Linked DNA regions of Styela clava. The protein of the gene in region 4 purifies or fractionates together with the protein of the main gene of each other region. This does not show direct contact. Links are inferred from orthologs where the notes say so. Each region holds a gene or a part of one and is shown on either strand. Other genes may lie near its edges. The genes, in order: V-type proton ATPase catalytic subunit A-like, V-type proton ATPase subunit F-like, vacuolar ATPase assembly protein VMA22-like and renin receptor-like.

Region 1 (7,838 bases), on a different chromosome or scaffold from region 4:
CTGGTGGTAAGATGTGTGTCGCAAGAAGATTTGAATAAAAATTACATTTATAAGCCCCCCCCCCCCCCGAAATGTGAAATGATTGTGCAAAATAATTGAAATGAAAAAACTATTGCACAGGGGTTCCTAGAGCCACTGGAATCTTTCATTGGGGTTCTTTACACCAAAAAGGTTAAAAATTACCAGACATAGCTAATATTGCATATGAGCATAATATCCTGTCACTTCATCTAATCTTGTCCTTTGAATGTTTTTTCATATTTTCCACATAACAAGTTTAAACCACAGTCGTCATCAGGAAATTGTGGGCAATGGGTCACACTGATTTGAAAAATAATGCAGTAAGCTGATCTCATTTTTTTAAACAGACGAAAGAGAAATACAGACAAGGGAGTGGAGGAGTGACTCAACATTCCAGAACATTAGCGGAAGTTACAGAGGAGTTGGAAAAAGTTAAACATGAGATGGAAGATAGAGGAAGCAGCATGACCGATGGAGGTATGACATTTGAAATCAATTTTCTATCTTGACATGGAAGCTCGAAATGAGTCCACAATACCGAACTTTAGGCCAGGGCTACTCAACCATTTTTCACCAAAGATCTGTGTACAAAACCCAAAATTATTGGGTTATGGTCTTTTCAGAAAATATATTTCACAATACGCCTAAATTTATTTCAGTGCTTACAGTATTTAGGTTATTAATAAAAAAGCGATCCACCAAGACGTTTATTAATTCGCCAAAGTTCTTTTCGAATAGAGTGATCCAAATATTTAAAACTAATAAAACAACCTCTGAAACTATAAATCAAAATAAGAGGAAACATTCACGAGCCTAATGTAACAAAATAAATTAAATGCGGTTCAAGATCAGGCCCGGTCAGTCAGTTGAAGGCTGTACCGAGTATAGTAGCCTAACATAAGTTTGAAACACTGTATTGCATTTAGCTCCACTTGTCCGTATCAAGCAATCACTCAATAGATTGAAAACGGAATCTACACAAATGGATATAAGAATCGGAGTAATTGAACATATTTTAATGCAGGTATGTCTCCATTCATATGTGTACAAACAACCTGGTTATCTATTTTTAGACCACCTAAACCAAAAACAACTCATAATTGTAATTCCAGGCTCGGATGAGAGACAAAACTATAATGCACAGCAACATGAATCAACCAGATGGTTCTGCAGAGTATAATTCATTCGGAAAAATGTATTAAATGCTGCTACAACATTGTATATTATTATTTATTTCATTGCATGATTTATTTTTCTAGAAATAAGTAATAAAAGTGTATATAACAGTACTGTGTAAAAGTGCAATAATCGAAACAAGCTTCAATATGAGACAGGACAAGTTAATTACTCTTGGGTGTCAGGTAAAAAAAGTCCTGTAGTGAGACATATTGCAATAGAAAATCCTAGGGCCAAGGCACTTCTGTAATATTCAGTCTCGTTAACTATAAATAACATGTTGTTGCTGAGTGTAGTGAAAGCCTGTAACAAACAAATATTGTAGTACCGTATAACATATTGCAACAGAATTAGAAAACATACTATGCTACTTGCAACTATGAAAAAAAACAATTGATACATTATTCAAATTTTGCATGAAAATGATTTTGGATCACAGCCTTTGATTTCTTGTAGGTATGGATAATCTAAGTTTCCTCTATTGTCATCAACTTCTGTGTGTCCCAATGAAGGTGGCCCGCTATCACGAATACATACACAGTACGCATTCTTTACTCCAACCGGTTTGAGCATCCTTGGTACCCCAACCCAGTCCCTTTCTATCCCCCCACTGAAAAACAAAATATTTTAGTAGTATGAAATTGTTGAGCTTTTACAGTTTTCAAGTCACATTTTTAAACATTAGTTTTGTAATCTATTTTGAAACTTTTATTACCTTTTCGTTGAACACCATACTCTAGAACCCGTCTCTTGCGTCCATTCTGAGTTACACCTTGGAAACAACTTTTCATGCTCCTCTTCTTTTGCCTTTAATTTCCTGGCTTCCATCATTTTATTCTGCGCTTCTCTCAATGCTGCAGTAGGTTGTCCATTCGCATCATAAAAATTCCCAATTAGCTTTCCTAAATTGCATAAAATAGAAAAAATGGTCACATATTGGTTATACAAAGAAAAATGAAAGCAAGAGAATGTAAGTAAATACTGGTAATCTTGGGATATGATACTTGGCATTGTTAGCCCTATGAGCATTTTATTAGATTTAAATCAAAGCTTATAGAGCGGTTACCATTAGCTAAAAGTAGCATGTCATTATTCCAATATATTTAAAATAGGATTATGCAACTTACCAACATACGTGTAATCTTCTTCATAAAATGTAACCCAATTTTCATATTCCCCGAAATGTTCAGCGCCTACCCCAGTAAGGTCATCAGTGAGCCCCTTATCAGTGAAATCACCTGTACTATATGCTTTAGTTCCATCTCGACCTAAAAGCAAAAGAAGCAACATGTAGCAATAACTTGTTAATACAAATTGAATATCTACAACTGAGGTTGGATATACTGCTTGTCTAATATTCAAATTATCATCGCTTATATCATCAAAACAAAATTATGTTTTAGTCGACCTAATAACTGATCATGTGCAAGTTAGTTGCTGGACTCAGTGCCACTTCTGCACTTGGGATTGACGGTCAATTTCTACCTTCAAGTTTGACAATGAAATGATGTGATCAAAAGTTTTATTGTCTTTGCTTAGAATCCGTATGTTATTTTGAACAGTATACCAGTATGTACCTTAGAAATTGAAACGAATCATTAATTACTAAATTGAGGATCATACCAGCAAAGAAGTCATATCCTCCGCCAGGTTCATAGAACTTAGCCCCTTTTGAAACATCATAAACTTTTCCTAATATAGCGAGATACAATCCCTTGCTATCCTTTCCACCGCGGTAGTGGTTCCATAGCTCTTCTTTTGTAAACAGCCGATCATTGGTCTTTTCCGAAATTGACGACTTTTCAGAAGCCGGCGCACTTTTTTTGGCAGCAGGTTTATTTTGTTTTTGTTGGAAAGAATCCATGAATCTTGAGCCCGATTCGAAAACATAGGCCTTGGCGGCTTCAATTTCTGTTCCATAATCTCGAACAAAATACCCGATCGCAACACCTAAAACAAGCACGAAAATTCCAGACTTGAAACCCATTCTGCAAAGAGGTAGCCTAGACGTTACCGCAGTTGACTACTGAGACACCACATCACAAATTCAAGCTTCGTTGGCACGTCATGAACTTTGCATGCTCGAATAAACTTCGCTTATTCAAGCTAACATTTCTCTATAATTGATTTGTTGAGATCATGTAATACTTGCGAGAACAGGATTAACGCCAATAATATTGTGGTTTAGGCCTAGGGTACCGGTACCGTATGTGGTTTACATTTACGAGGGTGAAAAGGCAGCCGACCGATGTGCAAAATCATGTTTTTATGCAAGGGTCGATTTCAGTCACCCTATATCAGTTTATGGGAGAGGTGCTTGACGATGTAATAACAAAAACGTTCCCTAAGTTCCAGATGGATAGGGTGTAGAGCAGCTCGTCACGGCGGCTAACTCCCCGGTTAAAAATCTAAATACACTTATCGTGCAACAAAGTTACCGTACCGGTACCGGTACAGAAGCTGACGGTCGTACTTTTTGGTATCCACCTATTTAGTTTTATAAATCAATGGAACCATCGTTTAACGACTTGATATATGTGGGATCGTAACAAATTTTTCATTCTTGAAAAACCAATTGGTTGCACCACATTCATCTTTCGAAGGAAACATCTCTGGTTTATCAGCGGGAGGTCAAAACTCGTGACAGGCATGTGAGAAGCTAATGATGCGTGATCGATAAATCATTCTTATTTAATTTGTTCTTGTGGCGTTAGGGTTGCGAAGATCTGAAGATCAGTGCCGGACAGCCGGTGATTTGATTTTAAAAGCAATTCTAAGCAAAATGCACGAGTAAAACAGCTGGCTACGCACGTTATATAGAAAATAAAGATTGGGACTGCACTTGATGCTTGAGATGGTGCTGAAGTGAGAAATACCTACAATCCAAGTTTCGCACTGCCTTCGTTTATTTTTCAAAAATTATTCGTTAGTAATGTTTACGTGGACTACCGTAGGCTATATTACAATATTAGTGTACCGGTATGTTGGCTGGTTGACCTAGAGCTGTAGAGTAATGAATGTGGTTTGATTAAAATCTCTACCAAATACTGAAATAGATGAGAATTGGGGTTTTGAGGTTTAATATATTGAAATTGTAGTTATCTTTATTGTTCATTACTGCATTATGTTAACGCGAGCTTATTCCATGTGTGTTTAGGTGAGTGAACACGTACGGTTCTCTTCTTCTTGGCAAAATCTTCCATCTTATATTCTGAACTTTTTAAATCTTATGTAAGGTCTGAAGGTGTTGTTTGCTCTCCTGATTTCATAATCAGTTTTTATTCGTTTGCTTTTAATAGTCTTATTCTAATATCGATTGTTCGTAGGTTCTGACCATATAGTGTATTTAGCGGTGGACACTTTTTGTGCAAAGATTCAACTCTATTAATCTTTATTCGGAAATCATGGATTTTAACAAACTCCCCAAAATAAAAGATGTTGAAAAAGAAGGAATGCTCGGAAAAGTATTTGGGGTATCTGGTCCAGGTAAACCCCTCTAATACATTTTACTGTCTAGAATCAGTACATCTTCATCTCAACGCTTTAGAAAATAGTTTTGGGAAATCTGAACTGGAAATATTTAATACAACTTTAGTTTTGGCGAACTAGATGAGTTTCAATAATAAGTCTTACTCTCATTATGGCATATATATTTTCAATCTGTAACTACATTACTAATATTCTATACTTTATCTTACAGTTGTGATAGCTCAGCACATGTCTGGCTCTGCTATGTATGAACTTGTCAGAGTTGGTCGATCTGAGCTTGTTGGTGAAATTATCAGACTTGATGGCGACAGAGCAACAATTCAAGTATATGAAGATACGTGTAAGTGAAATATTTCAAATTGCATGAACAGGAATAACTTTTTATTTGGGTATTACAAATTTCATTTCATTGGTCGGTACTCCCATTGTATGTGTACCAGGTTAGGGTTAGGCCATAATTTTATTCAGATTTTCCTTATTTTAGTTCTATCACGAGTTCTGGGACTGTCTGCGTTAGCCATGTGAATATCCCCCTGCCCATAGGTTCCAGTCCCTTCACACAACTTGATGTAAAATGGGCAAACAAAATCCAAATTGGTACACATACTTATGTAGCGCCCATAAGTGAACAATTCTCCTGCACATTATCATCAAAAAAATTTATTGAAATATATACATTCATTTTTCAGCTGGGGTAACTGTTGGAGATCCTGTATTACGAACTGGGAAGCCACTGTCTGTTGAACTTGGTCCTGGAATATTAGGTTTGTTCATGAGTATGAGTGACTAGTCAGTTTTTTGTCTCTTTTGAGGTTTGAATGAGTCTATATTTTTGTATTTGTAAATTTGTGGTGCATCAACTTAGCAAAACGACAGAACATAGTACTATAATATAAAGCAGGGATGGCGAACCACTGACCCGCTGGTCACAAAGTGACTGACCCGCCAAGGCACGAATAAAAAAAAAGCTAACATATCAGGGATAAAAATTGATAAAACCGGCCTTAAATTAATCTAACAATAACTATTATAATGTACCATCAATTGGGCAAGGCCGCGATCGCTCATATTCAAATTGGTAATTTTCAGGTCGGTATGGTAATTTTAAAAACCACTAATCTTGACTGCATGTCTGCACCGATGTGAACCGTTATTCAGCTCTGACATAGTTTATGACATAACAATGCCATTGATCTGTTCATTTCTCGCAACGTCTTGCCTCTTTTGGAAGTGCAGCATCTGCAGACTGTTTCAGGGGTTATTTGAGAATTAGATGCTACTTTGAATTTTATTAGTTTTTCGCCTACAATGCCGTTGAAAAAACGAAATCTTTCAGATCTCAAATAAAAATCTAGATATTTAAATTAACAATCGGGCAGTGTAAAAGTGCCTTAATGTGGTTGAAAGCTGATTGAAAAATATAACACTATCAGAGTGTAATTACCTACAAATTCTTTGGAACCGCGAAATAGTTTGCCGCATCATCCTAAACGTTTTTGGTAATTCATATGCGTGTTTTCGTACTCGTAACATAGGTTTAATAGTTGTGACCCACTCCCTTCTGTTCCGCGATAAAAATATAATTTTTGACCCATTCATTGAAAACGGTTCGCCATCCCTGATATAAAGAATTACAGAAATAAAAAGATGATTTTTGATCTCAAAGGAAGGGCAAGTGTTCAAAGAGCTTATAGAAATGTCACACCTTTTTGATTACCTATATTATTCTTATTAACCAAGAATTTTCAAAAAGGCATTAGAAATTAGAGATGTATCGGTATTTGACATAGATATTGGCGTTATTTCACTAGTTTCAGATTGGAATTGGTGAGAAAAGTTGAATTGGTACATCACTATTAGAAATGGGGATGAAACATGAATGCTTGATATTTCTATTGAGGGATGTTCTGTGATTCTTCTTTTTTTATTGTTGTTCAGGAAATATTTATGATGGAATTCAACGACCTTTGCGAGATATTAAGGATTTAACAGATTCAATTTATATCCCAAGAGGTGTCAATGCAACTGCACTTGATCGTAAAGCAAGATGGGAATTTGTTCCTTTGAAAAATATCCAGGTAGATCAGATTTCGTTTTATTGAAATGAGCGTGGAAAATATGAAAAGAAATCTTTGCTTTTAATAGACTATTCACTCTGATATGCTCTTAGGCAGATCTATACAATTTCCGGTGCTCCCATAGTGTGTGAACCAAGATAGCGAACACCGGATTGTAGTATGTGTACCAGGTTAGGGTTGGGCCATAATTTTATTCCAATTTTCCTTATTTTAGTTCTATTACGGCTTTACGGGTTTGGGACTAAACAAGTGACTTCCGTAGTGTTTGTACCTGAAATTATGGCTAAACCCTAACCTGGTATGCATACTACGTTCTGGTGTCTGCCATCTTGGTTCACATACTACGGGAGTACCCAATTTTAATTTAAATACTTTAGTCAGTATATATTACAAAAGAAAATTATATCAATATGAATGTAAGTCACTACTATTATCATACTATTTGTATTATCTGAGAAGGAACTTCGATTTTCAAATATTACTGGGAAAGTAACTTATATGAAGGATGATGTATGATATATTTCGTCATGATTTGTAAAAGCAAAGGCTTGTGTGTTTGAGCTTGAAATTTTTATGCTTTAAATTTATTGACTGTGCGGAGGATCAATACAACACATTTTCAAAGTATTGACAACTTGATTGTTGATTCATTTCCTCATTTTGCAGGTCGGCAGTCATATAACAGGAGGTGATGTTTATGCAACTGTAGTAGAAAATTCACTCTTACAACAAAGATTGATGTTGCCTCCAAAATGTCATGGCAAAGTCACTTACATTGCAGAACCAGGGGAATATGATGTCACAGTATGTGGTTTTCAGTTGCATTTATTGATCTGTCGAATTGCATTAATGTGCTTTTAGTAAACCTGAAGATGAATTAAGTTTGTGCGGCTAATGAAATTTATCCTTGAATTAGAGGTATTTTTGTCATGGTCATGCTTAGATATCTCACTATATGTAAATGTCATAACAATTTATTAAATATATTATAGTCTATAGTTTTAATGGTAGTAATTAAATAAAAATACAATAAAATGTTTGAACTTGGAAAAAAATCAAATCAATACTTGTCAC
Region 2 (6,347 bases), about 3.8 Mb from region 4:
TTCGTCAAGGAAGTTGTCACATCATCTTGGTCATTTGCAGGACAGACTGTATCTTCATTTTCACAATTATTTGTTCACTTTTATCAAATTCTACACGTCCTCCAGCAAATATTTCGATCAGTCATCAATGAACAGGGCGAGTTTGCGAGCTGTAACACGTATGCAACAACATATTGTAAACTAGCTATCACCCACATTTCTGCCGTAGAATGCTTTTTTCTACTCAGCGTATTACTGTGGTACCTAGTTGGTTCGATGCACTACTGCTCTTTTGCATTGCCGCCGCCTGATGACGCTGCAAGCGTCTCTTGCAAGAGGCTGTCTCCGGTGGTCGTGTTGGGCTGGTGAACCATGGTCATATTTTAAGCAACTATTCCAATTCTTGTACACCAAATTCGTCAAATCTCTGCACGGGGCAAAAAAATAGTGTATACACAAGATTTACAAACTGATTGCAACCTCGAACGATTTATGTGGTTTTACGAGGGCGTGGTTTAAAATTGGTGTAGCATAGGTGCAACATCTTCCCTCAGAAGTGGATTTTGGTTGTTAAATTAGCTAATATTCGTCTGTTTAGTTTTGTCATTTATGTTGGCTTATTGAGAAGATAACGTAGATTATGAGTTTCCTATGTCATATAAGGTACAATCAGGTTTATTAGAATGCAGTATTATGAGAATTTGCCGAGTAGGGGAAAATTTGGCTTCCGATAATTTTGTTGTAAACAGAAGATTCAGAAAGCGTGAAATAAAGTATGCACGAGTGATATGTTTCAGATTGAAACCAAATAAAATCCAAGTATTTTAGCCATAAATACGGGGTTGAAATAATAGAGAAGTGTCTCAGATTGATTTAGATTTTGTATTTTCAGCGATCTAGCAGAACGATTGTAAATATGCCGACGGGTAAAATATTTGCAGAAATTGCGTTGAATTAACGCGTATTTCTAATGCCACACTTTCAGATAAAGAGGCAATTGAGACTTACAATTATGAATATGATGAGGCTGATCTTGATGAAACACGTAATTTCTAGAACGATATTTATGTAGCTAAGATTTCGAGCCTAAAAAATCAGACCATTTCAGCATTTTGACTGTTGGAATTTATATGGACAGACAATAGCAATCTAAAAACAAATCCAAAGTTGGAACTTAGTCGTGTTTTGAAAGTCCGAGGGCGGCGCCGTTCACCCAGACAAACAGAACCTAATTCAACGTTCGAGGGAGCACAGTTTTTTCTCTTGCTCCGAATTTTTGACAACACCATAAACATATTGCAATCTACTCATAAACCAATCTAAACTAAATATGGAGCAAAACAATAAATGTATACACAAAAACGGAATTTGTCTGAACACAAATGCTGCAGAAAACTACCGATGGCAGTGTTTTTTTTATAGTGTCTTCCAGAGTGGGGGCAGGGTCGGTCGATAAATTCAAACGAAAGTCTGAAGTAGAAAGAGAACACATACAGTCCAAAAAATATCGAAATCGTAAAAATGTAAATAAACACACAAATTGCCAAAGATTTTTCTGCTACCAAAAAACTTGGTTTCTAATTTTTCGCAGCGTAGCGTAATCAAAATGACTTTCACGCTAAAAAGTCTTTCTCCGATGAAATACGTAACAGCAGGTAAATGCAAAATTATTTCGATGTTAAATCTAGATTTTCTATATTCTTGCATTTTAATATATATGGAAATTCAAAGTTTCAGGATAATTTCAGAGAAATAGGTAAACGAAAGTGTCAAGAGACAACTCATATGCATTTTCTAAATATTTTGATTTGCGAAACTACATAGAGTGCAAAAACATGATCTATATTAACATTTGTTTACATTTTAATGCGCCTTTTATTCATAATTGAAGTTTTGAATTGAGCCATGAAATAAGTTTGACACTCCCATTAATATTTTCCACCATCGTAGTACATATTCTGGTCATGTTACAAAGTATTGCAGATTGAACATCATACATGTGATATCTTGGAATTAGTCTTTTCCGGGCAGAAATTGCACTAGTGCAACATCCAGTAAATCCCCCCAGGGAGTCGGAGTGTCGAAAATTTTCAAAAATTTATCATATATGACCTAAACGTATTGCTTTCACCAAATATCAGATTTTTCCCACTGGTAAAAGATAAAGGGCCCCGAAGAGGGATATAATCACGGTTAGGTTCATATAGCGGTAGAACTCTGGACCTAAAATGGCGGGTGTGACGTCACACAAGCGCTTATGACGTTACCAATGCATGTCCTAACTTGTGTTCGCTGTCACAAGACAGGAACCTCTAAAGATAGTGCAGTTCCGGTACCGTAACGTAGCGCGATGACACTGAACTAACTCGTGACTGTCTCGTAAAAGCGGAGCTTGCATTCATTGTTAGGCTATACGGTAACTGATGCTAAATGTTGTTGCTTTTCTTGAAATCGGTAAACGTGTCCATATATTTGAGCATAGCTTTTATGCTGTTCTTAAGTCTACATTTGTGCGTTGCGCTCTTGTTTCGTCAAGCGCAGCAGCACCCGCCGGCGTCACGTTTGTCCTGGTCGTTTTGCGCAACCGGCGCTAGTCATAGAATCGTAGTGTTATCATATTTGAGCATTGACGTCTTGCTTTGTCTATCACATGACCAACGTGGATTTCCCGGCGATCGTCAGGCTCACAAGGGAATCAAGTTTTAGTTGATTAGGCTAGAACTTTCAAAAAACAGTATTATTTAGTCCTACCGGTACGGTACATATCTTGATAATACAATCTAGCTAAGCTACATTCAGACATTTCTGCATTTATGAATTGTGCAGTCTGAGAGTGTAGACCTGTTTAAAGTTATGTATTTTTTCTCCATTAATCTAACCCAAGAAAAAATATCTTTAAATAGTTGGAAGTATTCAAAATTCAGGATAACTGGGTTTTGTCAGTATCTACAAATTTAAAAGCAGCAGAGATATTTGTTTCAATCTTGCTACTGCTATTCTTGTATTCATTTAAATTTAGATTTTTTTAGGTATTAAATCAAATTTTTCCCAATTTTTGACGTATAATTAAGTCTATTTGCAGAGTTAGAATATACGGCACTGCTAATGCAATTTACTGAGAAGTAGGGTAACGTTACTTCATATAAAGATCGCAGTTCAGGCTTGAAATTCAATATTATAACTTGGAAAAATAAATTTTCTAGATTGGCTAAAATATTTTTAGCCAAACTATTAACTTATTTGGTCCGTCAGCAATATACAATTTGTATTTCGTGTTGAAAAATAGTGTTTCTCGTGTGTTTCCTATAGCCTATACTGATATAGGCATTCAAGCATTGTGTAAAGATTGCGGCTATTGCTATAGTAAATGTCAAAAGTTTATGCTTCATGCTTTGCTACAGGTGTGTTTGCGCTCCGCCCAATGCATTGTTACAAGGTGTGTATGACTCAGAATAACATACGAGAAAAACCAAATATTTTCAGTTGTGTTGCTGAGTTGGTAGCTTAACAACAAATCAGCAACCAGTTTATTCTTACCACAGTTTCCATGGTTACATTTATAATACTCTTCCTTTAAGTTTGTGTAGTAATATTTTAGATACACAAATGTACTATTGGCTTTTCATTAATTTGTGATAACGGCATTGGTGTTTCAGTCACATTTCTATAAGATAATCATGGCAGATAATGATGCAGATCTTGCCATAGCAGAAAAGGATATGGGCAATTCATTCTATAAGAAAAGGGCCTTTAAAAAAGCTCTGGAATGCTATGATAGAGCTATCATACTTGATGCGACAAATGCTATATTTTTCACAAATAAAGCTGCAGTGTATTATGAACAAGGCGAGCTTGAAAAGTGCAGAGAAAATTGCTTGAAAGCTGTGGATGTGGGACAAAACCATGGTGCAGACATAGCACTAATTGCCAAAGCATATGGCCGTATTGGAAGTTCTTATATGAAAGAAAAAAATCATTCTGAGGCCAAGCACTTCTTTGCTATATCTTTATCAAAAAATAAATCCTCGGATGTTATGGAGAAGTTAGTCCAATGTGAAAAAGAAATAGAAGAAGTGGAAAGACTGGCATACATCAACCCTGAACTTGCTCAAGAAGAATATTCAAAGGGCTGTGATGAATTTGCAGCTAAAAATTTTGAAAAGGCTCTGAATCATTTCACAGAAGCAATCAAACGTAATCCCGATGATGCCAAAACATATTTGACAAAAGCTGCAGTTCATATGACATTGCTTCAATATGATAAAGCTGTGGAAGATTGTGAGGAATGTGTTAAAAAGGATGCCAGTCTTGTGAAAGGTTACATTTATAAAGGAGCGGCTTTAGAATCATTATGTGAATATGACAAAGCTATGGATGCATATCAAAAAGCACTTGAACTTGATCCAAATGTAAAAGAAGTAACAGAAGCATATCACAGATGCTTAAATAAAGACTATGAAGCTCGCAACACATCGAATCTGTTACATAGTAGGGCAAAAGAAAACACAGACATTGCAGAGATATTATCTGATACAAATGAATCTGATTCAATAAGAAAATTGATTAATAATCCTAATATGACAGATAAAGTGCAAAAGCTTATTGATTATGGATTAATCAAGTTAAGCTGAGTTTGTTTTTGGCCAATGCGATGTCTCGTATAGTAAACGTAAGATCAATAGCATATGATGCAAGTATGCAATTAAAATTGAAACATAATTTTAATTATCTTTTCTTATCACTGGTATTCCCTCATTTGTATTCATACTGGTGCCATACTTTTCCTATTTGAAACATTTAAAGAGTTTGAACATGGGTCACCATGTATTATTAGCAATAAAACTATTGCTTTATGTTTACAGATTATTGATAATACGGTTAAATAAAAGTAATCATGGCAGCGGCTAAAGGGAAGTTACTTGCAGTGATTGCAGATGAAGACACATGCACAGGATTTCTCCTTGGTGGAATTGGTGAACTCAACAAAACAAGACAACCAAATTTTATGGTTGTAGATAAAGATACTCCCAGTTCTGAAATTGAAGACCAGATGAAGACATTCCTCAGCCGCCGAGACATTGCAATTGTACTCATTAGCCAAACAATTGCTGAAGTTGTACGGTACATTATAGATGCTCATGATGAACCCATACCAACAATTCTTGAAATTCCATCTAAGGATTCACCATACGATCCATCAAAAGACTCTATATTGAGGCGAGCGAAAGGAATGTTCAGTGCGGATGATTTCAGATGAAAACCTAATAATGAATATCTGAATGTTGCAGTTATTGTCATGGTCACAGATATATTTTTGTTCTTTCATATTGTTATATTATTTCCTTAAAATCTATTCAGATAAGTTTGGGTTTACTAGGACATTTTCTTATTAATAAGCATTTGCTCCAATCTTCATTCCTTCAAGAATAATAATTAACTTTTCAATAACTGAGCTATTTGGCAATACTGATTTTTCATGCAATTTTCCATTACTGGTACTAATTTGTTGAAAATTGACAAGGATTAAATGACTTTTCCTGATGAATAGTTTCCATACTATTCAACTAACTTGACATTTATAATAGGCTTTTTATACAAATATACTTGTCTGTGATAGTTTTCAAGTTCATTTCTTGTTTAAAGTCAGTTGTGCAATAAAGTTCACACTTCAGTATGGCGTTGAATTGATGTCTCATATGCAAGCTTGTAAGAACAGAATGTATGTATGAGCAGGGTTGCGTTTTCCGCAGCAACTAGTCATAGTACACATTAGATAAAATTTGTCAACCAAAAACAAGTAAATGGAAGTATACATACAAAAAACAACAACGTTTTTGGTAAAAACTAGAGGGAACGATACGGCCAAGAATGATAAATACGGTATAGTTGATGAAAACTTGTGATTGAAGGTACCATATGCAATGTGTGACGTCGCCCGGAAGTGGAGGAAAGCCCATCTGAGGTGTAATTTTCGTGTTTTGAATTAGAAAAGAAAAACGTCATCGTTCACATAATCACGGACGCACCGATGAAATGATTATAGGATAGAAAATAAAGGAATGACTATCAGGGTTACCATCTACCTAGAGCTAAAAAAAAGCACGATTGTTAAAAGAATATTTTGCGAGGGGTACTTAACAGCGGAAGAAACGCAGAATGAACATAAGAAAAAGTTCATGCACGAGTCTCTTCCGCACTCCCGATTTTTTCATAAATCCGGAATCGCCACCAGAATATATGCGTGAAAGACATGTTATTTTCACCTACTAATAAAACGTAGCTCAATTTTATGGACAAGTTGAATATATATAATAAGTGCACATAAATGAATGACAAATGAGGGCACGTTTGAATTTCACTGAAAGATA
Region 3 (7,516 bases), on a different chromosome or scaffold from region 4:
TAGGCCACATTGTTTTGATAAATTTGCATTGGGAAATGTGTATATATGACTAATACTCCTTGTGTGTTGTTTTAGATTTTATTTTTCGCGTGTTGGACACCCACCTTCGTCGTGAATGTTTGGAAATCGTTTGATCCTCAAACTGCCAGAAGAAAACTACAGAGTGGCATTATTGTCATCCAGGTAGCCTACAAATATTTGATGTCAAATTTTTTTCTATGATTAAATAATTATAAAGGATTGACCCATTCAGCTCGTTGTTACTAAGCAGGTTCTAATCGTTACGAAAGCACATAATTCTTTGTGTTTGTGCGTGATATTCAGATACAACCAATTGAACGTAGAAGGTAACGTAGTATTCAATTACAGAATTTAAATATATATATATTTTTTCATGGAAGACATCCGGGGCCTCGACATTCTATTTTCAACTATCATACATTTTAAGTCGTTTTTAAATTTTTATCGCTTGTTCCAGAATTCAACGGTTTAAACTTTCATAAAACTGATTAGTGATTTTTAAAATACTTTCCGTTTCGAAAGTTAGAAACACAGTCGAATAAATAAAGCTGTCTTAATATAGTAGCAAGAAAGCATTTTGGCAAAAGCTAAGGTTTAAACATCTTGATTGTTTTCAGATTCTGCCCTACGTTTCAACATGCGTCAATCCTGTCGTCTACTGTTTTCTGAATAAAAGATTCAGACAAGCTTTTTTGAACATATTCTGTATTTGTTGCGGTTGCCTTCCAGAAAAATGGCGACCGAAAAGACCGGAAGTAAGAACATTTCATTATTTACTCCATATGCAATACTCAAGTTACAAATTGTTACACGCTGGAGATATTATCCATTTATTTCAGACTTGATGCAGCCTATGTCAGTAACTATCATGGTTAACTGAAAAGGCAGTATTTTTGCTTGATGTGAGTTGTGACACAGTTTGGCTTTTTTTTTATTTTCATTAATCTGACGTGCGTTTTGTCAGCCAATCTTAAAAATATCTGATTCAAATTGAATTAGGTATATTTAGTATGTGTTATTACTAATTAGTTATGTTATTAGTAAAGTCGATGTTAATATAAAACTTGTAATAATATAGTCTTAATCAGTGTTTAATATAAGGCAATCTGATTTCAATAAATTAAGACCGGAAAATTCAACTAAAACATAAGGGGCTGATCCTGGTAAGGGGCTTGCTGTTTCATTTGTGCAGTCGTAGTTTGTTTAAGGATATACAGTCGACGTCAAAAATATAAAGTGCTACTCATTTGCCAATGCGCAATGAATATTACCACATCCAATTTTACGTAACTTTGTGAACTTATTGTTGGAACGTGATTGTGTATAAGTAATCTATCTCAGTTTAAAGTGATTGAACTATGATACCGTTAGATATGTCATAAAATTGAAGTAATACATTAAGTCCGCATTCTCTGCTTTTAGTTCGAAGAATTTAACTGCCGGTGGCCGTCATGCACCCAGGTTTTGGAAATGACACGTAATATTCTATATACCTACTATTTCAAAATCCGTTTTGTCTTTGATTTATCGACTTTGGTCAAGCCCATTTTATTTATCCGAATCATGTATATGGTATTGTTTACAGTTCAAAACCACATTTCGTCAAGTTATGAGTGACCGTGGTGTTGGAGTCGTGGGTAATTTGCAGTGGAGTGCATGCCAAGACTGGATAATAGGTCATTAACAAACCAGTTTAACTACCAGCTTTATCACAACTAACACCGCACGCGCTACGCTTACTAACTAACTCAGATCGTCTTTCGATCCGAAGCTCATTTCATTTTACTTGCAGCATGGTATAAGCAAGGCCTAACAGATTATATAACGTATTTTACGCAGTAACACTAAATTGTCGCGCAGCGTCGAATGAGCTAAAGCAAGCACGCATGGTGTGACTGGAGGAGACGCTTGGCGTTCCTCATTGCGACACTAATTTGACTAAAACAGAATTGGAAACCCTCCATGTTAATGATACTGTTTTTATGCTTAAAAATATCTTCTTCATTACACAAAGATTATTAAACGCAGTGTTGACCAAAGGAAACTCTGTGGTGCATGTTATCGTGTCCAATATGACAAACAGTATTTGATTGTAGGCTATAATGATTTTTTCTAAATACAGAAAAACGCACAGTGTTCCACAGATAATACAGATATTATATTGAATTTTTGTTACCATAGCCATCATTTTGAAACAAGTTACGAGCGCCATTGTGGTCTCAATTCTTACGTTGTACACCTATGTCGTAGAAACAAAAGTATTTAGGTTAGGAATTCCGTATTGTTGTTACCATCCTCAACGTTTCATGTATGCAGGAATCCACTTCAATGTTTTCCCATAGTTACTACTTACTATACGTTTAATGAATGTCATGCTCAAATTTTAATTGCCTGGCTTGCGTTCTGAATTCATAGGCTGACCTATTTGCATAAGCTTGTTGCCTGTGTAGTAATGTTTTGAATATATCTCTGAACCAAGGCAAAAGCAAATCAGAGTTGTACTTAAACTTATTATAGACAATCTAACAACATCGAAACGACCTACATCAAAGTTTAAAATACAGCAATATGTTTGCATGTAACTGAATGTGTGTTTACGAAATCTCGAAATGAATTGATGTTGTTTATCGTATTCAACGCATCTTTACATGTACCCTACATTAACAGCTGTAGATACTATCAAAGTAACGATCTCTTGTTGTTATAATCATCCTTCTTACAAAATCTATATCATAATAGACCATTTACTACTAATACCAATTAACGTCACTTTCTGCAGGATAATCGACGACCGATGACGACACAAAGCACTATGGTGACATCAACGTCACAAGTGTGATTCGCAAAGAAACGGATCCAGCAAAGCTGAGTACAGCGAGGGGGTGACAGGGACTCATATTGAAAATAGGTTGTCTGACACAGCTTATTTGAACTAGGAAATCGTACGCTTAAATCTACAATACGGTGAAAAAATGGGATGAAATGCAAGAAAAATTAGATCGAGTGAAAGCTAACATCACACAATGTACTAGCTCCCGATTGAACTTGTTTTGGTGGCCCCCAAAATTACAGTTTCGAGTCCGTTCATCATTTTACATATCATTTTTAATATCATACTTCAAAATTTAAACAATGGAGTGAGATGATAGGTTCATTTAGGCTCTCTCGTGTTAAGAGCAAATTAAATTTTATATATATTTATAGAATTATAAATAAAAATACATCATTACTCTCTCTATACGTTCTTATCCATCATTTATTATTTTTACAAGAACTAGTATTTAAAATTTCTTTTTTTTATAGAAAGATATTAGTTTGCAACTGTCGATGGCAATTGGCATATACCGTAGATATAATTTTTCTAATATTGAATGCTTTTTATGTTCAAAACTTTTCACGACAAATAATACTATATAGTGGTTGTATCAACACATTATTACAATTTAGATTAATCATTCATCGTGTCTGTAAATTATTTGTTCACTTTTCTATTAATAAAATGATTTCCACATATACATTTCGTTTTATTTATAATTTTCGACTTGGATTATTCTGACGCAGAGTGTTAATCAGTGGGCTGGGAGATGAGAACGTTTTTGTTAATTTCTAAAAAATGATGAAATACAATAACTGTCGTGAAGATTGTGCTGAGTAATATTTTTGATGATTTTTCTCACAATGCGCTATGATGACAACAACATCAGAAGTTATTCGTATTACTCAGTTGGTCAAAAAGCGTCTTAGAAGTTTGACTCTAAAACCACCCTTTTCATTTGGCGGATTGCTTGTCCTGTCTAAACCGGAAACTGCCGTGTTCCAATGAAAATAAAAATATATCAAAATTTTGGATAAAATATTAAATCTCATTGAATTTATAGAAAATTTAGGAATGCACAAAAGTAATAGCCTTCTGCCCAAAAATCATTAAACTCACCAAAAACTAAATTTCATCCTTTGATACAAATAACCCATTTCGACTGGCCCTTTATTTCAGCAATGACATTAATGTCATTGATTGAAGCGTGTTATCGGATACGATCTTCGGTTACAAATGCCGGAGTTGTGCATCATGTTGTATATTGTCGTGATTTCAGTGAAACTGAACTTAAAAAACATTGATCATATGATTTTTTTCTTTTATGTTTATTGGCCATTTGTAAAACTTAGCAATAAAATAGCAATTATCCATATAACAGGAGTTTGCAAAATGCAGTAAAAGCAATAAACAATAGGAAAAATAGAATCGTTTATACTCACGATTTCACGAATACCTACCGAGAATGGAAAGTAAATCTGATAACCACAAGATGTCGTTAAAGTGCAGGGAGATGCATGAAGCACAACACAAACATGTGCGCGGTGCGGGAGCAAGCCGCTTATTCGTGTTATCGTGTATGCTGTATGGTGTGCCGGAACATTATCAGCTATGTACCGGTAGGATCTGTATTCAATAAAAATAGTTTCAGTGCCATCCAGGGCGGCTTTTCCAGGCTCTGGTCTACTCGAAAAAATTATAGAAAAATTTCTAAGCCAGTAGGCAGTAGATGCACAGACCGGGTCTCATCTCTCATGTAGTTTCGTACCTAACATACTTCTAGTGAGCGTAGCATGACAATGTTTTCACGTATCAATCCTAACCCCCACCTGACTACACCATCCAAAAATTACATCAACACGACGTCACAGTGACGTAATAGAGCCCTTCAAACTATTCGAACTACCATCCAAGACACGCAAAAGAGCACCCAAAATCAAACAGTTATTTTTCTCGTGGCAACGATTCCAATAGGAGAGAGATCGATAACGTCAGTCAGCTCTTTATCGTCGGCGCCAATTCCATTTCGGGCGATTGTACGTATTTTGGCAAGCTCTATGACGTGATTGTGATGTCATAGTGCTGTAGTGACGTAATTTTTGTATGGCGTAGTCAGATGGGGCCTAGGATTGACATATCAAAAAATTGTTATGCTACGCCCACCAGAAGTACGTTAGGTACGAAACTACACGAGACCCCAAATTTGGTTTGCAGCCAAATTCTATATATAACATTACAGGATACCAGTATACTGGTATACGATTGATTAGAAATATCTCAAATCATGCACCCATGGTTCACTATTTATTTAAACTGTCAGACTGTTTTATTTTTTTCATCCAGTCCGGCAGACATCCAGCAGAGAAGGTGCTAAAAATAGATATTCTGATATTGGAATTTCATAACAATGTGCCCGTTTTATTTCAGTAAAAGTCATTCTTTTTACCAAATTATAAAACGCAAGAATGGCTTCAAAACAGAATTTGGATTTTCAATATCTTAATCTTTTGCGAATAATACAACAAATTCACGAGAAAAAGCAGCAGTTACAAACATGTATGGAGAATGGATTTTTTTGTATGTCAAAGGCACGATATGTCATGGGAATGAAACAAGTATCTAAACTGAATTATGCTTCTGTAATGAGTGCAAATGTAACTGTTAATGTTGAACAAAACGATGATGAGGTTTCTAAATTTGAAGTTCAACATAACAAAAATGAAAGAAAAGTATCAGAAAAACAAAACAAAACCAAAAGTGGTGATCAAAAAGAAGCAATTTTAAGGAAAAGAAATGTAGGCAATAGCAGTTCTGAAGACAAAAACATTGAAACGGATGATACTGATCACGTCCAGTCTTCTATTAATGAATTGCCATCTGCTGTTTCTGATATTGATATCAGCGAAGAAGATAAAATTGCAACCCCAACTGATCCATTAAATTGGTTTGGTGTGCTTGTTCCACAAAGTCTTCGGCAATGCCAAATTGAATTTCGAAAAGCCTCCATAATCATTGGTGATATAAGCACACTGCAATCTCAATTAAAATTGGCTAAAACAAAAATTAAAGAGTTAAATTCTGAGATTTCAATCAAGTGAAATATTATTATATTTATATTTATTGTGAATGATCATTGCTTATGTCTCGTGAATCAAATTTAAAGCACCCATTGAGAGATTTCATTTAGTGTACCACACTTCTATTGTTTGATAAAAACTTGCAATAATTTCAATTTTCATTTGCAATATTTGTTTGTTATGGGAAGCTCTTTTTAGGTATTTTCCTGTTTTGGTGTGGTAATATCTATACTACAAATTGAATTTTTATATAAAAAATGTTGTTGTATATACCCGGAGTACACATTTCCAATGAGCATATGTGCCAAAGTGTAATGTTGAAATAATGTTGTTGCTGCCAAGCCACTTTCGAATATGTATTGGTAATATGAATGAACTTCTGAAGTTAAAATTTGGTATGTTGGGCTTCAAAGAAGAAATAGCGATGCGCATCACTAAATCTAAATATTTATCTGCGAATCGAGTCTGTAGCTGAGATGCAGTTGTTTCCATAAAGAATTACCTCCTACCAAACCATATGCGGGTCATGTTCGTGCTCATGGTGTGCCGCATTAAACATGTATGCCCTGTGTTATTTACCCCTGGTATAAGACTATTCATTATTGCAAAGAATCATATTTAATACTCAAGATTTTCATTTTTTCTACTATGTAACAACATCTAATCAAAGAATTTTTGTATGTTAGATGTTTATGGTAAAATATTTAGTATAAATATGGTTGTTCTTCCATCGTCACCAGTGTGGTATCAGTCTCGAGGTATAGATACCTCACATAATGGAATTCTTGCATTTGGATCGAGAAATTTGGTATTTTTATTGGATTTGACACAAAAGAGAGCTGAAATTTATGGTAGGATTATTCATGGGATTTTTTATTTGTTTTCCATGGGATTTTTAAGATGTGGTTACAGTTTTTTCTAGTTCCGTAATTTGCATTTTGTGGAGAAAAATTATGGTTTGAATCAGTATTTTCCCCCTTTGTGTAACGTAATGAATCTGAACAAAATTTTTATTTTGTCGGTCTATTAAAAAATTATTAGATTTCAAATTCTAGATTGATCTGAATTTCACTGGTATACCTAACTATACTGTTATTGATTTATAGAATTTTTGTACAGTAATTTTTTATTTGTTTGTTATACATCACTACTCCAGGGTTCGGTTAGCAATGAGCATAAGTCAGATGTTGTATATTGTGAACCTGTCTATGTGCTAATTACAATGTTATTATGGCCAAATATATCATTGTTTTAGGTATCCTGAGTGGCCATACTGATAAAGTTACAACATGTTCTTTCTGTCCTACCATTGGTCAAGACCAATTACTTCGGATTTCATCTGGAGCTGATGACTGTTCCGTTAAAGTATGGGATGTTCGACAAAAATTAATGCTTCATGAACAATCTGCTCATGGAAGCAATAAAATCATATCAGTGCATTGGTCTCCAGGTATTCTATTGATGATTTCGTATTTTTTTCAGCTTGCCCCTGTCATAAAATGCTGTGAAATGCTTTATTTGTGATAGCTAACTACTTTTACTTCCACAGTGTATGTCTGCTTGACGCTAGTTTCTTTTTATCAGTGACATGTTTTTCAATAAC
Region 4 (8,575 bases):
CAAAGATGTCATCATCTTCAGACGACGGGGAGGATTATATATATTACAAGTATGTCTAAACAATTTTTGACCACTGTATTGTTGTAGTGAACATGCAGAATAAGGCTATGAAGAAGAAACTTTGCTTATTACAGTATTACAGTATTAGGCCTACTTACAGCTGTACAGACTTAGACTATTGCTACTCACAATTCTTTTTTTCAGAGATCGTCCAGAGTGGAATGATGTAACACCAGTACCACAAGATGATGGACCTCACCCAGTTGTACAGATTGCTTACAGTGAAAAATGTATTCCTTCTTTTATTCACTTTTATGGTTACTTTAATTTATCTTTAGGCCCATCTTTGTTTCTTGATTTTATCTCAAGAATGCTGATAAGAATTTGATTGTTCCCCAGGGCAAATTATATGGCAAACTTAATGGATTGAAGGATCCAATTAATATAAATATTCTGATAGGCTATATATTATCCACCTATAGTTATATAATTGTTACCATTTTTACAGTCAAAGATGTCTTTGATTACTTTCGAGCAGTTTTGAAATCAAACGAAAAAAGTGAACGAGCTCTCGAACTCACAAAAAGTGCGATTGATATGAATCCTGCAAATTACACAGTATGGCAATATAGGTATGCAATATTTGTAATCAAACTGGTTGGTGTATTATGTAAGGTGTTGGGAACACACTGTTGTCTCAAACCTAATAAATCTGGCCGAGAAATGCTGACTAAATTGCAATCGAAGTGATGTGCAAGAAGACTTCTTGCCATCAAAAGGTTGTTCTCATAACTTTTTGCAGAGGCTATATGTTATAGCCATTTGTATCCATGAAAGAATGCGATTAGGCTTTTTTTAACACCTCTGCTGGAAAGATTTGCCATAAAGCAAGCAAAATACTTTCAGTACAAAATTTTTTTTGAGATTTGAAACATCGCAGTGGTTGGGAACTGGCTGTTAATTTTGAATGACTAAAAGCCTTATTGGTGGGGATGGGATAGACAAGTTAAGATGACGAAGTTCGTTACAATATCTGTCACAGAGGCAGAATGACATCATATTTTGTCAATGGCTAAGATTGTGCATTCTTAAAATTACTTTTAGAGCAATGATATTCATAGTCTTTCAATTTGGATAAGGCTGATCAAGTGTAGGTGTTGGAGCAAGATGTCCAGAATGGGGTAGCAATACTCCATACGTGTTGATTTTTTTTATAATTGGGATACAATTCTGCCTCATCCTGTTCAATTTTGAATAGTTATGCTTTCGTACCTATATTAACCACTTACTCTTTGGCTAAATTATTTTATAATCAATTCTATCATACTTTCAAGATCCGTTTTGGGGTTGCTATTTTGACTGTGAGATTTCATTGTCATCCTCCAATTGCCAAGTGTTCTTTACTGCAATATTTCGTAAGATGTATTCGGTCTCACCTCTTTTTACATAGTAGTAATAGTATTTTGATAATTCATACAGTTGTGATTAATGGCATTCTCTCATTTTTATATAGGAGAGTTCTCTTGAAACATTTAAAAAAGGACATTACAGAAGAAATGAATTTTCTCTCTGGTCTTATTACCGAGCAACAAAAAAATTATCAGGTTTGGCATCACAGACGAGCGCTGGTTGAATGGTCAGGGGACCCCTCAAAAGAATTAGAATTTACGGCAGAGATTTTGAATTTGGATCATAAAAATTATCATGCATGGCAACATAGACAATGGGTAATAAAAGTAAGTAAAAGCTTAGCATTATCTTCTGCGTTTATAACAATATTTGTTTGTATATAAAATACATAGAGAATCTGATTACTGCAGATTTTTGTGTGAATGACAGCATTGCATGAAGAGTTTTATGTCAACTTTTTGAACACAATATAATAATGTTTATTATAAATTTGTTAGACGAGGAAACAATAAATTTCGGAAGTCTCGAATTATTGTCTTTAAAATTGAAATTGATCTACTCATTTTGTCAATGATTCTTCTGCCCTGGATACTATTTGATTCAACTGAAATAGAAAAATAAACATACTTATAGTGGCTGAAAATAAGTTGAAAAATGAAGTTAATAATCTGTTGATAATTAGAAAATCACCTTCCATACATTGCAGGAATATTTATTATGGGAAGGTGAACTTGATTTTGTGGATTCATTTCTTGAGTCTGATCTTCGCAACAATTCTGCTTGGAATCACAGATATTATGTTGTTTCTCATACTAAAGGATTAACAGACGAAGTTGTTAAAAAAGAAATTGAGTAAGATCATACATTTCTCATATTGTAAGTCTGGTTATATTCTGTTTATTGCAGAGGTTCCTGGCCAAAGATTTATAGAACACCAAGCGGTAGTGTGATGAACAAGACTCATTCATCCAATTCTCTTGTAATTTCTGAGAGGAAAATCAACATTGAAATTGCATATACGCCGAAAATCAATTTACGTAAAACAAACATTTTTTTCCCATTTTTCAATGAACTGTAAGTTATATAACATGCAGTTATACAGTAAAATCAATATAAATACAATATAAAATACCACACTAATCTAGAAACGAAACCATGCATTTTGAGAATATGTGTATATGAAGCTAGAATCATGTGTTTTATTTGAGCTCAAATGATGGCGCACTTTATAATAAATTCTGAAACAACATTTTTAGATACGTAACAAAAAAGATTGATATGGTCACAAAGAACGAAAGTGCATGGAATTATTTGAGAGGGTGAGTATTTTTTCAAATTTGCCAGCCAGTAGTTACCATATTGGCACAGAGAGATTTGAAATGAAGCATTATTAATCGCTAATTGTTAACCACTTCGGAATATAGTATATTTGAATCATGGGTTTCACCCAAGGTTGCCAAATTTTTCAAACTCATGGCTTGTTCTTGTTGGCATAAGGCGGTTGATTGTCCGGTGCTCTGATACCAGCAATATTGTTGTGATTTAGGTTATTGATTATTATTCTTTATTACAGCATTCTTCTCGATCGAGGCTTAACGTGGAGTGAAGAATTAAATAAGAAAATTCACTCATGGAGAGGAGAAGGATTGAAGTCCCCTCATCTGTCGGCTTATTTGTTGGATATGTATGAAGAAGAACTAGGAAATAAGAAAACAAATGATGTCAAAGAAACACTGCACAAAGCGATGGAGGTTGAATTTTTTATTATTTCCTATGTTTTTTATGTATAGTGTGAACTGGACACCACAAAATTCAATGAGTTAATTGATATATTTTCAAAAATGGTTTGTGTTGATTTGAATCGGAATGGTGCTCGATTTGTATGTGATATTGAGCTAGGATTTTCGGACTTATTCGAAGAAAGACTTACTTGCATGACGCCTGGTTACCAGTCCATGTCAAGAATGGGAATATAATATGAAACAAATATTCAACATTAATTTTGGTTATTCTATCACCATTTATTAAAGGCTTCTTTAGTCTGAATTTTTCCTGTCGCTGGGGTAATAAAAAAATCAATGCAATACATTATTTTCTTCTTAATTTGGAGAAGACCCTTGACAATCAGTCACATAATTGTGTAGAACTACCGAGTTTGAAATTGTAGGAACATTTCCAGTTAGTGCAACTTGCCAAATGTAATAATATATTGACCAATCATAAAATTTCCATAACAGCTATGCAAAGAATTAGCAGAAGACACAGACAAGATCAGACGCAACTACTGGGAATTTTTTTCACGATCTCTAGAAGAACGATATTCATGAGAGACTCTTCCAATCGCTGGAGAAGGATGGCTTCTTGCCAATCATCTGAGAATTTAATTCAGAATACACTAATGATCAATTTCGATCCACATATCATGTGAACCTTTGAGAATCAAATTTGTTGTGCTCCAGCTGGAGACAGCACATACTTTTATTTGTTTTATAAAGAATCATGCAACGGCTACGTTGTCAGTTCAGTGTGAACATTGACCAGTAAATGTATCATTGCTCATTGTGTCCAGTTGTGAATTAGCTATTAGGGCCCCAGTTGTTCGACAATATGTAAGTACACTTTGGTACTGTTATTAATGGGGCAGAAAAGGATTAATGGGGCAATGTGAATTAGGAACTTTTATCATTTATTTTCTATTATGCTAGGCGGTGTGACACATCATGCTAAGCGTTAGAAATACGCTCTCTGTTGCATTTCTGATTAACGCGACACTGGGGATAATAGTGTGTGAGAGGATTGCTAGAATCCTCACCACCGTATGCGGATTCACATAGCGGCTGGTCTCTTACCACTTCCCCAACCATCGAGTCAATACATTTGGAACAAATAACTGGCCAACTAATCCCATACCTGACATGGACTGCTAATCGGACGAGAGGATGTGGTTCATCATATGATTAAGAGAATTATCAACTTTTCTACTTCTACACAAAGTTTTCTTACCTGGGTTTTAGTGTTGGTGGAGAACCGGTACCTATATTCAGAAAGATGCATTGAATGTGGTTGATATCGGATATTGTACTCTTACCGCGCATTGTTTGATCGATCTAACCTGCGTAGCTTGCAATAAATGCTGTATGGACCTTTCCCCGACCTTTGACCCTCGAAAAATTCTCCCTATACTTTACCATTGCAAAATTGTCAGGGCTATTTTAAGAGTGCTTTTGCGAGTTGGCGCCTGTAAAATGGGGTATGTGTTTCAAACCATCATTATGTTTCATCGCATACAACAATCTGTTTTTTAAAAGTACCGGTAAAGAATTTCAGGCTAGTCTATCACAGCTATTTCTACACTAACTTTTATTACTGCAATTAAATTCAAACTCCTAGAAAGACAGAGTGATCATTGAATTATCTGATTTTTATTCAAGTTCCCAAAACACAACTGAAAACTAACGAATAGAGTTCAAAAACGCGAAAACGAGGTAATGTTTACAATCACGCTTGAAAATCTGAGTGAGAAAAGTGTCTGAGCGGATGCAAAAAGGGGGCATTGTTACGTCACTTTTTGCATCTTGCTGATTGGCCAATGTCACGAAGTAAACAAGGAAGTCGATGCTCGGGGAAAGGTCAATTACGTTATTATACAACAGTAATTTATTTATCTTTTTAAAAAAACATTTCACTCTGTAATACACAGTTTTATTATAGAGGGTTATCATTCTCTGTAGTTTCATATGCCGCCGCTGGGGCTCGCGGCTGCTGTTTTCCACCTATTTTTCCAAATGATTGATGCTTTTAGGTGAGTGAACCGGTACCACTCTATTTTGGCAACTCAACTCAAATTCTGTACGTCCAAAAACCTTACTTGAAGTTTTATTTTATCTCCTGGTTCTATCTCCAGTTTTAACCTATATGTTTTTATCAATTATTTTATCGTCTGGTACCGGTATGCTGAATATGGTCGAAATAAACTTAACTTCTACCTATACACTCATTAATATTGAACAACGGACTCCGTTCACCCCTACCTGCATCCCGTGATCCTAAGAAGTCAGCTTCCTATCGATCAGGCTTGACGTTATAAGTCTGTAAGTAATATCCGTTTAGACTTCTTTACTGGTTTGCTGCGAAACAGAATTGTTGTTCTGTGTACAGTCTCCAACTCGAATACAAGTATCACTAGTGTGACATGGATGAACTTCGTATTTTTGTGTGTCTTGGTAAGTTTACTTTTTTGCCCAGAAAAATTGAAGGAAAAGGGTACTGCCATCGTACAGGACGGCAATTGGCCATTTTCCTCCAGGAATAAATAAAAAAAAGTTACGGTACCGGTAACCATAAAATCCGAAAACTGGAAGTTTAAAAACATGAATTGGATTCTTCATATCTGTATATATCATTTATATGTAATCAAAAAAGACAAAAGAACCCGATACCCCAATCCATGACTTGTGCATAGACTGCTATGGAACATTCGGGTCTGGTATAGTTTAGTACGACATGCACTTCTAGTTGGCCTGGCTCAACAATTTTTGCATATGTCAATCCTAACCCTCACCTGACTACGTCACCCAAAAATTACGTCATTTTGACGTCACAGTGGCGTAATAATGCCTACCAAAGTATGCGAATGGTCGTCCAAAACGCGCAGACGAGCACCCGAAATCGAGCAAGCTATTTCTCTCGTTTTCTCGTCACAACGATCACGATAGGAGAGAGATAGCCGGCTTTAGCGAGTTCGTTATCGGCGGCGCAGATGTCATTTCGGGCGATCGGAATTATACTTTGGCAAGACCTATGACGTGATGGCGACGTCGTAGTGACGTAATTTTTGGATGGCATAGTCAAGTGGGGGTTAGGAATAACATATGCAAAATTCGTTATGCTACGCCCACTGGAAGTACCTGTGGTACTAAACTATACTACACCCGAACATTCAATCTATTTATCAAGCTTGTTTTTTTAGTAACAATTTTTTGTCACTGCTGCACTGTGTTGTTTTTGCAATGAAATTGAACTAGGCCTACAGCATTACCGTTTTGCGTCAGGGAGTGTTTTTTTTGTTCCATGTTTTTGTATGAAAAGCACTGTTGTGTTACACATACACGTCTTACATTTATAATTTAAAAGGTAGAAGTTTATTGCATTCAATTATTTACTTCAATTTGCTGTTTTCGGTAAATTGCTCTCAAAGTACTGCCCGATTGTAAATCGCGTTTTTCTGTGTTTGTTTTATTCTTTTTTGGTGGGCGGGCACGTACAATGTACGCTTTTTAACTTTTTTAAAGTTATGCCCATCTCCCAGGTATCTCTGCATTTTGTTTTGTCTGATTACTTTTTGTATTGTTTATGCCAGAGAACCAAAATAAATGACTGATTGATTTATTTGTAAATAAAGTTATTACACAGCCTGTCAGGCTGTGGTAGTGGTATATACAGATATAGGGTGGCTTAGCTAATTTGCGGCCATCAACTTCATCAATGTAATTAATGTCGAAAAAATTAACACACCGTGACGATATTACTCATGCGTTATCGTCCACTTATCCCTCGTAGCTCTGCGAAATTACACTAAAATGCGGCCACAAACAACGAAGTTACGAACTTACGACCTAACACCCGACTTGAAGAAAAAAAAAACGAACCTTTTTTTTATGTCGCTAACTACCCATTGTCCCTGTAGAAAAGCTTGAAAATTTATAGAAATATAAAGAGAATGAGATATAAAGATAAAACTTGTCAGTTGGGTAGAGTTGTGGTACTTTTAACCATCTTTAAAGTTCGCGTTTCTACATTTAAAGAAGGGGGAATGGGCTGGGGGTGCGCATTTCCAAAAGGTCGATAATATCTTTGTCGACCAATATGCGACCATCATGTTTTTGTGTGTTTGATCGCTGTGATGTGGTGCTTTGTTTATAATTTGGCGAATTGTGTTTGAAATAACCGTGTTCTTAAAATATTTGACGGTCAGAAATGCAATTAGAAGCCTAATTTTTTCATGCATGGCTGCTTAAACGATTTCCAAGTCTCAAAATCACTGGTCTTTCGGTCGCAAATACGTCTTCCGAGTATCGTACTCTGGTGGTTTGTATAGATTTAACCCCTGATTTTAGAAAGTTAATTCGAGTTGTAGTGTGTAGAATAAATGCCCATCACCTACAGTAAAAAAATTAATGGGTTAGAAATATTGGTTTCTATTTTATAGCGGTTTGAATGAAATCGTTCGCAAACTGGCTGTACCATTCTACTGATATATGGGTACAGTAGTATGGTTATGAAATATTCCATTTGTTTTTCCGCAGCGCTCATTTCAACATGTCTTGGTGAGTTTTACATTGCAAGTGCACCGAAAACAATGAAGTTTATACCGAGAACTGATCAAACTGTTCGAAGACGCGAACTGCCGGGAATCATCAATTTCATGATGGGTTTGCCTGCACAATATTTACATCGCACTGAAACATGGCCAGGTAACGTTGTCGATATGCAATTTCAATTGTTAGTTCAATTTACAAATTGGATGTATTTCGACTTTTGATGACGAAACCACATTTTTAAATTGATGCGGTTGTAAATTTTTTTGTGTAGATTTTTTCATTCAGTCACGCTTCCTATATTGTATCAGACAAGTAAATCTTTGTTGGCTTTGTAGGTATGGCCTTATGATACACCCCACAATACCATGAGTATCTGAGAATTTCAAGTTGAGATATGATCCAAAGAATATTATCGTGTGTAAATGATTTTGTTGCCAAATACCTGTAAGCGTCAAACATCTCGATTAGAAATCTTTTTCATGCAAATTTGTTCAAAGTAAAGGCATGGTCCTCCAACTGAAAGTCCACAAAAGACCTAATAGAACATGCTATGTTTGAAAGCGTTATACTAGTTTTTTGGGTTCGCAATGTTTATATAATTTTTTTAAGGTCTTCAGAGCATTGATTTGTTCAATCCACCAACAGCGAATGTTCTGATAACGTTACATCTTCCAAAAGGGAACGATTTTGCTTTGAGCAAGGTATTTTTGTTCTATCCATGATATTTTATTGTTTTTAAATATTTTATTCTATAATATGTATCCAGAAATCTTATTTGTGTAAGTGCTTTTTTCACATTTTTTTGTTTAGATTTTTTAAAATTTCCTTATCCATTTATTACCTTT

What was found.
Region 1: the proteins of renin receptor-like (region 4) and V-type proton ATPase catalytic subunit A-like purify together in Homo sapiens (co-immunoprecipitation; 3 studies listed by BioGRID and IntAct, with this or other methods). This does not show direct contact. The link is inferred for Styela clava from reciprocal best matches to the Homo sapiens genes ATP6AP2 and ATP6V1A.
Region 2: the proteins of renin receptor-like (region 4) and V-type proton ATPase subunit F-like purify together in Homo sapiens (affinity purification with mass spectrometry; 3 studies listed by BioGRID and IntAct, counting the BioPlex papers as one, with this or other methods). This does not show direct contact. The link is inferred for Styela clava from reciprocal best matches to the Homo sapiens genes ATP6AP2 and ATP6V1F.
Region 3: the proteins of renin receptor-like (region 4) and vacuolar ATPase assembly protein VMA22-like purify together in Homo sapiens (affinity purification with mass spectrometry; 3 studies listed by BioGRID and IntAct, counting the BioPlex papers as one, with this or other methods). This does not show direct contact. The link is inferred for Styela clava from reciprocal best matches to the Homo sapiens genes ATP6AP2 and VMA22.

What each region holds. Positions count from the first base shown.
Region 1 is NC_135253.1:4,236,647-4,244,484, forward strand, and holds the start of V-type proton ATPase catalytic subunit A-like, read left to right. Parts: upstream 1-4,479; 5' UTR 4,480-4,601; coding exon 4,602-4,683; intron 4,684-4,897; coding exon 4,898-5,026; intron 5,027-5,375; coding exon 5,376-5,450; intron 5,451-6,624; coding exon 6,625-6,764; intron 6,765-7,430; coding exon 7,431-7,568; intron 7,569-7,838. Other genes in the region: intraflagellar transport protein 57 homolog, read left to right, coding at 369-498, 948-1,045, 1,134-1,223; neuferricin-like, read right to left, coding at 1,603-1,807, 1,913-2,099, 2,325-2,465, 2,821-3,184. UniProt on the Homo sapiens protein: Catalytic subunit of the V1 complex of vacuolar(H+)-ATPase (V-ATPase), a multisubunit enzyme composed of a peripheral complex (V1) that hydrolyzes ATP and a membrane integral complex (V0) that translocates protons.
Region 2 is NC_135256.1:13,318,091-13,324,437, reverse strand, and holds V-type proton ATPase subunit F-like, read left to right. Parts: upstream 1-4,740; 5' UTR 4,741-4,873; coding exon 4,874-5,236; 3' UTR 5,237-5,653; downstream 5,654-6,347. UniProt on the Homo sapiens protein: Subunit of the V1 complex of vacuolar(H+)-ATPase (V-ATPase), a multisubunit enzyme composed of a peripheral complex (V1) that hydrolyzes ATP and a membrane integral complex (V0) that translocates protons.
Region 3 is NC_135263.1:13,922,560-13,930,075, reverse strand, and holds vacuolar ATPase assembly protein VMA22-like, read left to right. Parts: upstream 1-5,065; 5' UTR 5,066-5,301; coding exon 5,302-5,934; 3' UTR 5,935-6,592; downstream 6,593-7,516. Other genes in the region: cholecystokinin receptor type A-like, read left to right, coding at 76-183, 639-776, 1,607-1,705; gem-associated protein 5-like, read left to right, coding at 6,593-6,764, 7,169-7,363. UniProt on the Homo sapiens protein: Accessory component of the proton-transporting vacuolar (V)-ATPase protein pump involved in intracellular iron homeostasis.
Region 4 is NC_135256.1:9,499,963-9,508,537, forward strand, and holds the start of renin receptor-like, read left to right. Parts: upstream 1-5,431; 5' UTR 5,432-5,602; coding exon 5,603-5,633; intron 5,634-7,715; coding exon 7,716-7,883; intron 7,884-8,339; coding exon 8,340-8,431; intron 8,432-8,575. Other genes in the region: protein farnesyltransferase/geranylgeranyltransferase type-1 subunit alpha-like, read left to right, coding at 6-49, 205-290, 509-632, 1,514-1,736, 2,117-2,262, 2,667-2,729, 2,984-3,161, 3,648-3,737. UniProt on the Homo sapiens protein: Multifunctional protein which functions as a renin, prorenin cellular receptor and is involved in the assembly of the lysosomal proton-transporting V-type ATPase (V-ATPase) and the acidification of the endo-lysosomal system.